Oryctolagus cuniculus: one gene and its partners. The protein of the gene in region 3 purifies or fractionates together with the protein of the main gene of each other region. This does not show direct contact. Links are inferred from orthologs where the notes say so. Each region holds a gene or a part of one and is shown on either strand. Other genes may lie near its edges.

What was found. The genes of interacting proteins can lie anywhere in the genome.
Region 1: the proteins of DTL (region 3) and COPS5 purify together in Homo sapiens (affinity purification with mass spectrometry; 6 studies listed by BioGRID and IntAct, with this or other methods). This does not show direct contact. The link is inferred for Oryctolagus cuniculus from reciprocal best matches to the Homo sapiens genes DTL and COPS5.
Region 2: the proteins of DTL (region 3) and CUL4A purify together in Homo sapiens (affinity purification with western blotting; 15 studies listed by BioGRID and IntAct, with this or other methods). This does not show direct contact. The link is inferred for Oryctolagus cuniculus from reciprocal best matches to the Homo sapiens genes DTL and CUL4A.

Annotation. Positions count from the first base shown.
Region 1 is NC_091437.1:92,673,679-92,678,147, forward strand, and holds part of COPS5 (COP9 signalosome complex subunit 5), read right to left. Parts: intron 3,495-4,469; exon of another isoform or gene 2,977-3,494; intron 2,577-2,976; coding exon 2,465-2,576; intron 1-2,464. UniProt on the Homo sapiens protein: Probable protease subunit of the COP9 signalosome complex (CSN), a complex involved in various cellular and developmental processes.
Region 2 is NC_091440.1:713,289-717,757, reverse strand, and holds part of CUL4A (cullin-4A), read left to right. Parts: intron 1-263; coding exon 264-426; intron 427-826; coding exon 827-916; intron 917-1,687; coding exon 1,688-1,770; intron 1,771-4,469. UniProt on the Homo sapiens protein: Core component of multiple cullin-RING-based E3 ubiquitin-protein ligase complexes which mediate the ubiquitination of target proteins. As a scaffold protein may contribute to catalysis through positioning of the substrate and the ubiquitin-conjugating enzyme.
Region 3 is NC_091444.1:26,551,567-26,556,135, reverse strand, and holds the start of DTL (denticleless protein homolog), read right to left. Parts: upstream 2,680-4,569; 5' UTR 2,381-2,679; coding exon 2,329-2,380; intron 2,301-2,328; exon of another isoform or gene 2,166-2,300; intron 1,047-2,165; exon of another isoform or gene 974-1,046; intron 1-973. Other genes in the region: INTS7 (integrator complex subunit 7), read left to right, coding at 2,837-2,930. UniProt on the Homo sapiens protein: Substrate-specific adapter of a DCX (DDB1-CUL4-X-box) E3 ubiquitin-protein ligase complex required for cell cycle control, DNA damage response and translesion DNA synthesis.

The sequences.
Region 1 (4,469 bases), on a different chromosome or scaffold from region 3:
AAAATGTTATAGCTATCATCAAAGTTACCACAGAAGGCCCTTTAAAATGCTACCAGATCTCCTAATGATTGTTCAAAGTTAGGGTGATTTTAAAATGATGCAATTATATTTACTTTGCCTAAATGAATCTAAATGGTTTAGGAAATCAACATTTATCCCACAGACTTGGAGAAAAGCCTAAGGTTTACAGACTTTTCCACATTCAGAAGATTAGCTACAGAGCCCATAAAAATGTAAGCTAGCAGAAATGGTTATACTAGTAAACTGACAGTAAAATATACCCAATCACATTTCAAATGCCCAGAAAATTAATACAGGAAACTAATTTCTTAAAAAAATTTTTCTCTGGTAGCTTTTAGGTTTTATGCTATAATTAACTGCTTTAGTTGGAGAAAGAGAAAGTGAACATAATTTACATGTTTTCTTAAAATGCAGCAGTGTCCTATATGAGTATATAAAATCACAGAAAGGGAGAAAATGTAATTTAACCTTTTCTTGATTATTAATGTCCTCATATATGCAGTGCTGGAATACAGGGACAGCCGTGTGGCTGAGTAGGTAGATCTGCTTGCCTTTATACAAAGGTTCAGACTGCTCTGGTCTTACACAGTGTTTTCTCCCCTTGCATCAGCTCTCACTTCTGGTTGCTATTAGTATACTTGCCTCTACGGAAACAACACATATAAAGCATTTAGCAGTGTCTGGCACACAGGAGGCACTTAATAAATGTTTGCTATTATGTTTGCTTTCCTTCCTTCTAATCTGATACTTCTGACCACCGAGGATTAAGAAATAAGAACAGAAAACTTGTCAGAATTGTGTTTAAAATTATAAAAAACAGGCTCAATTGAGGTTTTCTTTCAAGAATGCAATGCACCAAACAAAAATAATAATAGTCATTTATTGAGGCTTATTATATGCCAGGCACTTTGCTAATTGCTTTATATCAAGTATTTCATTTAATTTTCTCAGTATACTTAATGATGTTATTATTTTATATACAGAAAAGGCTCACTCACATTAAATAAGTTTCCAAACATCACTCAGAGCCAGTAAAGTGGCAGCATTCTTTTCAAATCTGATTTATTTCAAATCCCATGGTACTAATCACTATGTATACTGCAGTATATGGAGTGGCCTACTTTTAAAAAAGCTGTTCCTAAGTTCTAAATATGGAGAATGTTGTTAAGTAAATATCCTTACATTTAATAATTAATATAATAATTGAATGTTAAATAAATATCTTACATTTAATCATTTACCAGAACATATTCAGTGAATATCCTTTTTCTTTGGCTGTGCAGAATCTGTTGCTTTAAGATAATGACCATCTGATTATCCTCTGAGACCTCTGCTCCCCCCTTATTAGTCCCTGTACTCCTGAAGGAGCTGCTTCCCCCCAGCCCAGCAGCAAAGCATTTGTTCTGACCCAGTCACTCAATAAACTCATTCCCTTGGGCCAACAGCAGGTCTAAGAATGGCCACCCAGTGAGATACCATAAGGTTTGCCTAGAAATATGCTGGGATATGTACATGCTTCAGTGTGTGTATTTGTGTGTGTTGATTTTCTTTCAAAGCTGAAACTAAGGTCTGAAGTTAAAGCTGCCTTTTTATGTTTATTTTATAAACATGCTTTTATGTTAAGACTGAAATTGGGGACGGCGCTGTGGTGCAGTGCGTTAACGCCCTGGCCTGAAGCACCGGCATCCCATATGGGCGCTGGTTCTAGTCCCGGCTGCTGCTCTTCTGATCCAGCTCTCTGCTATGGCCTGGGAAAGCAGAAGATGGCCCAAGTCCATGGGCCTGTTCACCCAAATGGGAGACTCGGAAGAAGCCCCTGGCTCCTGGCTTCAGATCAGAGCAGCTCCGGCCATTGTGGCCATCTGGGGAGTGAACCACTGGATGGAAGACCTCTCTCTCTCTCTCTCTCTGTGTAATTCTAACTTTCGAATAAATAAATAAATCTTCAAAAAAAAAAAAAAAGACTGAAATTGTAGCTGACTGAGATGAAATCAATGTTGAGAGAGAAAAACTAAGACTTTACAATATTGCTTAAATGCAAACTTAGCTGTGCCTGAGTTAAGCTGTACCTCTAGATCTTGTAACTTATAAGATTCCCTTTCTTGTTTAAACTAATTTCTTTTGATATGCTGCCACTTGTGACCTTAGTCGTGTCTGAGACACCTGGAAAATTTGTGTTTTTTTTCCCCTAGAGGTCTTTTTAAGGCAGTGGCAGGTCTCATCCTGGTCTGGCCACTCTATTTGCCAATTAGACTTGGTATCTCTGGCATATGACACAGACCTTGAATTGGTCTTGTATCCGGATTCAGCCTTGGTGGTACAGAGTCTTGGTATTTTGGCCAAGTCAGGTACTACCTTTCTTGTGAAACTGGGTTTCAGATATTAAACAATTAATGTAGTTCAGGTAAAATTTACATGCATTTCTTGCAAGTATAATACTTACAGTAAGCAAACTAGAGGAACTCAGCGTATTCACCCAGTATTTATTCCACAGAAGCTCAAGCAATTTGCGATCCAAAGAGGATTTGAAATATGAGACTTCTAAGGCATAATATCTATTAAACAAAAGGACAAATTTAGTAATTGAAAAGAAGTTCAGCTGTATCATATAAAAGTTATGGCCAAACTTAAGCAAACTATATTTTATATTTAAATAGTCATGTTTCAGTTTTTAGTACAAGTAACTATGATTTCCTTATTCTTCAGGGGCTGTGCTTTCAAGTCTTGTCTAAGTTATATTGTTTTCCTTCTGTAAAGCCCAAAACTTCCAATAAGTTATTAACAACCAATCAGAACTTTGAAATAACATGTTTATTCATTTTATTGAGTTCATGAATTCCAGCTAATAACACATATTAAATTAACTATCTAGGGTCAGCTGTAATTTTTGTTAATGTTCAAAAAATACTGAAAATGACATGTGGATTCCCTTTTCTAATTCTCTAGTTAGGACTTACTGCCTATTTTTTATTTTTGAAGATTTCAAATATATTTTATTTCTTCAACAATGCAGTATTGTAATAGGTACAGTGCTTTTATTTGGCTTCAGTTATGAGTTGGTTTTGAGACTATTCAGTATCACACCAACTGGGATAATTACTGATCTCTCCATTCCTGTAGAGTGACTGCCAACAGGAGACAGGTTCCATTCTATTCCAATCTGTGTTGCTGTATATCTCTATATAACATTACAGAATGTGGCTCTACCAGCTAATACAGCATTACCACATTTGTTATGAAAATCAAGTGTACGTCTTTGGTGGCTCTTCATTGTCATTGTTTGCTGAATGCTTTGAACTTGGAGAGGACTTAGTGCATTTCTGACCAAAGGAAACATGGTGAAGCAGAAGATACAACTGTGGCAACTGTAGCTACTGTTTTGTTGCAACTTCCCTCCAGATACCCTTACAGAGAGTCCTCTTTATTTTTTCAAAAAAGTAAACTCTAAAGTATGTCTTTAAGGTGCCTAAAAGAAGTTTGCACTTCTAAAAGTGCCTTATTTATAAATAAGGGTGCAGAGCAAGGACAATTTGGCTACATGTCTGAAAAACTGATTCTTTTTAAGATAACAATATTTAAATATCTCAGAGGTTTTGTATATCAGTGGATACAAAGAAGCACTAGACTATTTTACCTTGAGGGACTTACCATTTATATGAGGGATGTGATATGAATTCATAATAAGTTAAAATATAGTTATATACACTGAATACTTACTGGTGTAAGTGATGCTACAGTGCATATTTAATTGAAATGAATCAATTAAGTGTAAGAGATAATGAGTACTCTTAGAGTACAGGATAGATAGTGGTCATTTGAAGCTAGAACTGCCTGAAAAGCACAGGGAAAAGGCAAGATTTAGGGTAATCACTAGATGATTCTGTGGGGTGCATATGTTGCCAGCAAGGAGGGTATTAAGCAGAATGCCTCAACACATGAAAAGGTAGGACACATATGGGATAATAAGTCAGTCTGGCTAGACAATTTAGAAAAAGCAGAAGAATTATGTGAGGGAAACCTAGAAAGCTGTGCTGGGGTCCAGTTGGTGGAGGACATCAGATAAATGACTAAGCAATTTAAATTTTACCCTCTAGGTACCTGTATTCAAGGAGGGTGTTTGGGCAGAGCAATAACACAGCCAAAGGGCTGTTTTAGAAAGCTGGCTGTGGCAGTACCAAAACTTTGGAGGCAGGAATAACCACAAAGGAAGCCACTGCAGCAGGTAAGCTGGGAAGAGAAAGGTTCAGTGCAGAAGATAAAGTCATATGGGCATGATAAAAAAAAAGTTGATTAAAGTTTAGCAGTGAAGAAATGAAAGTTGTAAGAAATTGAAGATAATCAAAATTAAGTAAAGCTTTGTTTTGTTTTACTAGATTTGTTTATTTGAGTTACAGAGGAAGAGGTAGAGATATAGAGAGAGATCATCCATCTGCAGGTTCACTCCCCAA
Region 2 (4,469 bases), on a different chromosome or scaffold from region 3:
TGGCAGGGGCCCAAGCGCTGAGCCCATCCTCCGCCACTTTCCCAGGCACATCAGCAGGGAGCTGGATCGGAAGTGGAGCATCTGGATCTCGGAACCAGTGCCCATGTGGGATGCTGGGGTTGCAGGCGGCAGCTCTGCCCGCCGGGCCTCAGCACCAGCCCCAGAGGGCTTCTGGCACCGGCTGCAGGGAGCAAGCACACGTGTTTGCGGGGGCCTGTTCCTACGGCAACCAGAAATGAAGTCTTATTTTCCTCTTTGTCCAGGGACATGGGATTAGAACTGTTCCGAAACCACATTATTAGTGACAGGATGGTTCAGAGCAAGACCATCGATGGCATTCTGCTCTTAATCGAACGAGAGCGAAGCGGGGAGGCCGTGGACAGGAGCCTGCTGCGGAGCCTGCTGAGCATGCTGTCCGACTTGCAGGTGAGCGCCGCGGCCGCCAGGCGGGCTCTGGCCCGGGACTGGCTGCCTCCTGGCTGCCCTCCCCGGAGCAGGGGAAGCAGCAGAGGTTCAGGCGCAGACCCTGCTGTCGGGAACATGGGACGTGTTTAGTCCCTGCAAGGGGGATGACTCGGCTAACCAGGAGCCACAGGAGAAAAGGTTGATAAATGTGCCTATATAAAAATGCCAGCTTTTTCATGGGAAGTGTGGAATAAGAAATCAAAGACCTGGGAAAGCTGTTGGTGTCACGTGTGAAAATCAGAGGGTGTATTTGTAGCATGCACAGAGCCCTGCCGGACCCAACCCAGGGCCCGCAGGTCACGGGGTGCTGGGAAAGCCAGCTTTCAAGTTTGCTGACTGAAATGACTCTCTGGTTTCTTAGGTGTATAAGGACTCATTTGAACTGAGATTTTTGGAAGAGACGAATTGTTTATATGCTGCAGAAGGCCAAAGATTGATGCAAGAAAGAGAGGTGAGACGATGAGGCATGAATTGCCATGCTCCCCTTCTGTGGGAATAGACCCGGGCTAACCGCACACATGCGCACGTTCCTGGAGATCGTCTCAAAGCCACGATCTCGCAAAATCCCAGTAGTTAGCTCTCTTCTTCTTAGGGTAAGAATTTAATTTCTTTTCCTTCACTTAGAAGCTGTTTTATTGTCTTCCCCCTTAAAAATCAAAAGCCAGTAAGGTAGGGTCTGAAATTTGTAAAGGAACTCAGGTTTAAGCAAGAAGATAAGGAAACAAATCCTAAATCTGCAAAGTGAAATGTGTCAAAATCTGTCATCTGTGTGAAGCATTGAAAAAAATATATAAAAAAGCGCGTCGTCATAAAAATGCGCCTCGTCCCCGGTTTCCGCCTCATCCCCGGTTTCTGCCTCATCCAGGAGGCGCCTGTGCACTGTGACCTGCCTCACTAGGCCTGGCTGCACGGGGCGGACAGAGCCTCGGGGGCATGTGAGGCATCCCCGGGGGCTCAGCCTGCCGCCCGGCTCTCAGCACCCAGCTGTGCATGGGCCCGTGTGGTGAGCAGGCACACAGCAGGCTTGTGGCCTGGGCCCTGACTCCAGAGCTGGGTCTCCGGGAAGCTGCTCATGTGTTTCTCACAGCCCCCCCCCCCAACTGGGGCTGACTGTATACTCTGCTTTTGTTTTTTAATTTTATAAGGGAAACAAAATTTCCGTTTCTTGGGTAACACTAAGAACCTTTTTGTTACTGATGTGCTTAAATGTTTTCTTTGGAAGGTTCCAGAATATCTTAACCATGTAAGTAAACGTCTGGAAGAGGAAGGAGATCGCGTGATCACGTACTTAGACCACAGCACCCAGTGAGTACTGCAGCTCCTCTGCCGCCTCGCTGAGATAAGAACCCCTTTGTCCCTTCCTCTGTGCCGTCCCGGGGCGCCTTTGTACTCGCTGGTAGCGTTTGTCATGACTCAGCACGTGGCCGAGGGGCTCCGCACCTGCAGGACTGTGTGTGTGTGTGGGGGTGTGTGTGTGTGCGCGCGCGGAGTCACACTGGCCAGTAGGCGTTTTTTTTAAAGAGCTTAGGGTTTTCCTGGGGGGTGGGATAGTGAGATTGAGAGGCAGACAGGGAGAGATCAAGGCAGAACGGCAGTTCCCGTCCTCGGGTCCACTCCCCAGCGCCCACTTGGCTGGTGCCCTGAAGCCAAGAGCCAGGACTCAATCCAGGCAAAGAAAGGGAGAGACATTTTGTGAGTGTGTCTCACGCGAGGAGAGGTGAGACACACACGCAGGAGACAGAAGAGGGAATCTGAGGAACCAGAAATGGTACAAGTGGGTCGGGGCAGGCAGGAGGAAGGGAAGGAGCGGGAGGGAAGACGGCCTTGGCGTTCGCGTGTGCTGAGCAGAGTGGGGCTGAACCAGGACAGGGCCCCCACGCCTGTGTCCTGCTCCCCTCTGTTGCATTTAGCTTCAAGAGGAAGCAGCCAGGAGAGAGAAAGCAGAGGGGACAGCAGATCCAGGCTCATGGCAGCAGAGGGAGCCACACACTGGGCTCCGCTGGAGCCATGGCCCTGGGCAGGTCACATGCCTCTGGTGTGCAGGGTGGAGGGCTGCCGTGAGAGCCAAGTGGGGAGGCGCGCTGACGCCTCCCTCAGCGCTCGGGAGTGGGTCCCGTGCTGTGGCCTGTGGCGCCAGCATCACACATTGGTGCTGGCTCCAGTCCTGACTGCTCCACTGCTTCTTCTTCTTCCTTTTTTTTTTTTAAGATTTATTTATTTATTTATATGAAAATTAGAATTACAGAGAGAGGAGAGGCAGAGGGGGGGATCTTCTATCCGCTAGTTCACTTCCCAGTTGGCTGCAGCGGCTGGCCAGGAGTCAGGAGCTTCCTCTGGGTCTCCCACACGGGCACAGGGGCCCAAGTACTTGGGCCATCTTTTTTATTTATTTATTTATTTTTTATTTGACAGGTAGAGTTATAGACAGACAGAGAGAAAGGTCTTCCTGCCGGTGGTTCACCCCCCGAATGGCCACCACGGCCAGAGCTACACCGATCCAAAGGCAGGAGTCAGGTGCTTCTTCCTGGTCTCCCATGCGGGTGCAGGGCCCAAGCACTTGGGCCATCCTCCACTGCCTCTCAGGCCACAGCAGAAAGCTGGCCTGGAAGAGGAGCAACTGGGACTAGAACCGGCGCCCATATGGGATGCTGGCGCTGCAGGCGGAGGATTAGCCAAGTGAGCCACGGTGCTGGCCCCTTGGGTCATCTTCTATTGCCTTCCCAGGCCATAGCAGAGAGCTGGATCCGAAGTGGAGCAGCCAGGACTCAAACCGGTGCCCATATGGGATGCCGGCACTGCAGGCAGCAACCCTACCTGCTATGCCACAGCGCCAGCCCCCCCCCTTCTTAAGATTTATTTATTTATTTGAAAGGCAGTTGGAGAGAAGCAGAGAAAGAGAGAGAGGTCTTCCATCCTCTGGTTCACTCCCCAAATGGCTGCAACAGCCAGTGCTGGGCTGATCCGAATCAGGAGCCAGGAGCTTCTTCCCAGTCTCTCATGCAGGTGCGGGGGCCCAAGGACCTGGGCCATCTTCCACTGCTTTCCCAGGCCACAGCAGGGAGCTGGATTGGAAGTGAGCAGCTAGAACTCAAACTGGCACTCATATGGGATGCCGGCACCACAGGTGACAGCATTACCCACCATGCCACAGGGCTGGTCCCTGGCTGCTCCACTTCAGATCCAGCTCCCTGCTAATGGCCTGGAAAAGCAGTAGAAGATGGCCAAAATGCTTGGGCCCCTGCACCTATGTGGGAGATCCGGAAGAAGCTCTTGGTTTTGGCCTGGCCACAGCCCTGGTAATTGCAACCATTTAGGGAGTGAACCAGTGGATGGAAATATCTCCCTCTGTCACTTCCCTCTGTGGCTCTGTCTTTCAAATAAATGAATCAAAAAAAATCTCTGAAATTAACCTTGGGAAGACGGCGAAAATCAGTGCTGCTTGGTAAAGCAGGTGCCCTGTTCTGAAAACAGCAAAGGGCAGCACTGGGCTGTGGGCGGGGAGAGAAGCCCAGGAAGGGCAGCGTCGGGGCCTGTAACCCGGCCCACAGTTGCTGCGTTAGCAGACTGTCCATGACGGGAACTTCCGTGGTCCCCAGGCCCTGCCAGGTGACGCCTGGAGGGAGCAGGAGCGTGGGCAGGGGCGTCCCACGAGGGTGGAAATCTCATGTCGGGCTGGGTCTCAGGCTCCACCAAAGCTGCTTGGAACCTGAGGAGTGTGAGTCGTGCGCCTGTGTCCAGGAGGTGAGGGGCGGCGGCACTGGAAGCCTTGGGAAGGCCGAGAGTCTGGGCAGCATGGGAGTGTGGGGGAAAGGGGGGTAGGGAAAAGGCATCCGTCACCGAAGCCGCTGACACCGTAGCCCTCGAGCCGGGCGGTGTTGTGGTGGTTGTAGTCATCTCTGACGGTCAGCGAGGGGTCAGCACCTGGACGAGGCCGAGCCACTCAGCAGGCTCTGAAGGGCTCTGGACTCCACGCTGGGATTTACGTCAGTGATGCAGGACTGACG
Region 3 (4,569 bases):
TCTCCATTTCCCAACTATATACCTTACACTGACTCAAGGTATAAAAACTCCTAGGTATCAATTAAATATTTTTAAGTAAAACCAAAAGCCTTCTGGTATCCCACCTGAGATAACTGGATCATTTATTTAAGAATAGCACCACAAACACCCAAATCCACCTTTAAAACATGTAATTTCAATAAAAGTTACTTTTTAATAATTATTCATCAAAACTGATCATATATTGTTTTTATCAATCACATACTAAAAACTGTAATGAAAATTAAACCCAGGAGAAACATTTAACATTAAAGCATTATGATAACAGAAAACAGCAATTTAAATGTACTTTTGGACACAGAAGGACAAGACAGGATTATCAGTAAAAGGACTTTTCAAGTATACAACAACTTATATTAGGTTAAGTTCTGTAGGAGAAATACAGTAGAAATAACTTCAAGAGAAAAAAGCAACTGCATAGAATATTCTGCAGTTAAGGAAGAGTTTATTCATATTTTTAAACAGATGATGTGATTATTAAATCAGTATTCATTCTACCAGATAAATTTAGAAGAGTTAGTATTTTTAAGATGTCAGTACTCACAATATAGCCACAAATCATGTTCTTAGCATCTATTTAAACTTGTGATAAAAATTCCAATTCCTCTTTTAAAACAATGGGGCTACTCCTGTAGGTCACACAGAAGGTTCAGAAGGCAAATTATGTTTGGTTTTGGGAATTTGCATTTCAGGTGCTCACAGGAGCCACAAAGTGGGGGGGCACAACCCATACAGCTTTTTTAGAAATGAATCTAAAATATAGGTAGGAGATTAAAGGTTATACGTACTAGTTTAAGAAGTCCTAGTTATGGCTGTGATTACCTATGGCAATAGGCAAAAGGGGCCAAGGATGGAACACTAACATTTAAGGATAAGGAGAAGGTAACTGAATATTTAAATGGGCAACACATAATGAGTGAATTTTAGTGCTTACCACATTAACAATGAATGAGTACTCGTGAATAGGAGAGGAAGGAGAAAAAGTAGACAGATGTATTGGAGAATTAGGAGAAAATCTGTCACAAAATAGAGGCTCAATAGTTTGCCCCAGGTCACACGAAAAGTAAGGAGTGGAGTTGTAATTAAAACCCAGGCAGTTAACTCCAAAGACAATCGCATTCTTAACCACCGTGCTGCACAGCCCTCCGAGACACAGAGGACAGAGAGGTGTTCAGCAAGTTCCTAGGAGAGACAGAGAGAGAAGGATTTAGAGTGCAACCACAAAGGTTAGCTCAGAGGCAAGAGGGAAAGCAGGATAGTTTTAGATCTGGAGCAGGAAGTGCAGGCAATCACTCTTCAGTCTTATCAACATCCATTTTGAGACCCATTCCTTAAATAAAAAGTTCCTTTCTCAGTCTTTCCTTTATCTTTGTCTTTTCCACATGGTTACCATGGGCAGGGGGACCTCTGGGTATTGCACACTTCTAAAAAAAATGAGATTTCATTTCCGTCCCGGGTTAGTCTAGAGAGTTAACCCCTATTTCAGAAAAGTATCAAAAATTTCAGGTCGATGATACCCAAACCTAAGCTCAAATCTCCTTGTGCCAGTGATTTAACTCTTATAACCTAGAGAACTGCAGAAAATGAGCTGGATTTCTACAGGCGGACACGGGAATAGGGACAACTTAACGCTGCTAAAAAGAAAAACAAAACGTTTTGATTTCATTTCTGAAAATATTTCTTTCCGGACATCCAACAAATCTAGAATAATATACTTCAACCTATTAACCGCGGCCGTCCCCGGGGGACGTGGTTATGGGCATCTTGGACGCTACAGTTCGGAATTTTTATGGCTGTGTGGAAAGGGGGGGAGGCTGCATTTCGACCCGGCGGAGAGCAGATGTCCTGTCCTCTCTGCCCGATCGAGGTCCTCCGCAGCGCTCACGTCCGCTGCGATCACAAATAGTGGGGTTCTCTAGGGTTCTACCACGAACTAACGGGCTAACTAATGGATCCGAGCCTGGACGGTCTCACGGAGCTGCTGAGAGAACACATGGCATGCCTTTCCCAGTTAACGCGCAATATAGACGTAAGCCATAAGGGCCGGCCTCCGTCCCTCCTTCCCTCGGCCTACACCACGATGCAAAACGCCCGTTCGCGACCAAAAATGTCCTGCAGGAACGCACGCCCCGCTTTCTTCGGCACTCCTCGCGAACACCAACCCCGTCCCGCCGTGGGAGAACTCGAAAGCGGGGACCTAGGGCTGGAGTCGGCCCCGATCCAAGGCGGCGTGTGTTTGGGGGGAGGAATCCCGCCAGCGAGCAGCAGCGGTTGAAGACCGTTACTCACCATTCCTCAGAACGCCAAGCTGGGGCTGGCGGAGCACCGAATTGAAGAGCATGAGGGCCGAAGGAAGAGACTCAAGTGAGAGAAAAGCCGTGAAAACGCCCCCCCAAGCCCCGCAGAAGCCGTAGCTTGCGCCCCTCGCAACGCGACTCGTTTTTGCCTCCAACTCCCGCCACTGGGAGCCCCGGCCGCCAAACTCCGCGCCAAACTGACGTCACACGCTCTGATTGGCTCCCGGGGCGGCGTCCGGCCGTCTCAGAGTCACTTCCCCCTTGGAATCCCCGCCTCCTTTTCTCCCAGCCGCGGGAACCTAGGGTTCGGGAGCTCCCTGAGCGCCTGCGCGGGGGGCCGCAGAGGCGCCGGCGAACCGTGGGGTGACCGGGGCGCATGCGTGGCACGGCTTGACAGAGCGCGGAGGAAAAATCCGCGAGAAGGCGGCAGGAGAAGATGGCGGTGCTGGGGCAGAGTTTGTGATCTGTCTGACTGGGCTAGTCGAGTAACTATTCGAGTCATGGCGTCAAACTCAACTAAGTCATTCCTGGCAGATGCCGGCTATGGCGAACAGGAACTGGATGCTAACTCTGCTCTTATGGAATTGGACAAAGGTATTCGAAAGAGCGGGCTGAGCGGGGGACCGGGCGTGGGGGAAGTGGCGCCGCCAGGTGGTGGCAGCCTCTGGAGGGGCTGGGAAGGCGCATGCGCGCAGCCTCGCTGGGCGGGCGGCGCCTAAGCTTTTCTGGGGCCAGGGCTTTGGCGATCTCCGGATCCTGCAGGAGAACTGCAGGGTCGCCTGATGGACTTTGCGTCCGCTGAACCAGCAGCGAGCTCTAGTGGGGGTCCCGTTTTGACCGCTTGAGGGCACAGTCCCCCGATTTTCCAAACAGCGAAAGTGGCTAGTTCCTAAAAACACCAGGTTGAAATTGTGAAAATATTCTTGAGTGCTTGCAGTTGCGACCAGGTCTTCATCACGACTTTGGCACTGACTTTGTAGCTCTTTGATTTCCGCAGCTCTGTGGCCTGCGGGTTACAAGGTAGGTTAAAAATGACCAAGATCACCCGAAAAGCATGGCCTGTGCTCATTCCCTGGACACAAGTTGCATGAGTTCGGTTTCCTTACAGGGGGCAGCTTGGCGTAGTAGAAGGAACTTTGGGGTTCTACTGAGTTGAATTTCAGTTCTGCTCATTTTGGGATCTTGGACGAGTCACCTAACTGCACCTAGCCTCGACTTACTGTCTGCAAAGTGGGTCCAGTGCCACTGAGCTGGAGAGATTTGTAATTATTAAGTGATATAATTGTATGCAAAAGAAGCATTTATTAAATGCTGAAGAGGTACGCTTTTCTGTATAGATGTGAATATAGGAGGCAAGGCGAATATTTATTAGTGAAGAACTCGAGTATGAACATGGACCCTATGATTCAGTATACTTCAAGGACTTCTGTTGCATAGGGGAAGTATTTTATCAGCTGATGTACACTTAATATTGGATTATGTGTAGCCCGTGTATTATCATAGAACTGGACTGGAAGTCAGAAGGATCCTTTTTTTTTTTCCTAAGATTTATTTATTTAATTGAAAGAGTTACACAGAGAGAGGAGAGGCCAAGAGAGAGAAAAGTCTTCCATCCGATGGTTCACTCCCCAACTGGCCACAACGGGCAGAGCTGCACCACTCCGAAGCCAGGAGCCAGGAGCCTCTTCCGGGTGTTCTATGGGGATGCAGGGGCCCGAGGACTTGGGCCATCTTCTTACTGCTTTCCCAGGCCATAGCAGAGAGCTGGATGGGAAGAGGAGCAGCCGGGTCTCAAACCGGTGCACATATGGGATGCCAGTGCTTCAGGCCAGAGCCTTAACCCTCTGCACCACAGCACTGGCCCCAGAAGGATCCCTTTAAGTCCATCTGAAGCCCCTTCCAAGCTCTCTTGATGACTTTTTGAGGCCCCTCCCTTTTTTAAACTGAAGATGTTCTCTAGCACATCGGTCCAACTGGTCTACATCGCTGGCTCCTCTTTTTTTTTTTTTTTTTTTAATCCTTTTAAGACATCTTTCTCTCTTTTTTTTTTTTTTTAAGATTTATTTATTTATTTGAAATGCAGAGCTAACAGGCAGATGGACGGAAGGACAGAGGGAGGTCTTCCATCCACTAATTCACTCCCTAAATGGCTGCAACAACTGGGGCTGGACCAGGCCAAAGCCAGGAGCCCAGAGCTGCTTCTGGGCTTCCCATGTGGGAGCAGGGGCCTAAG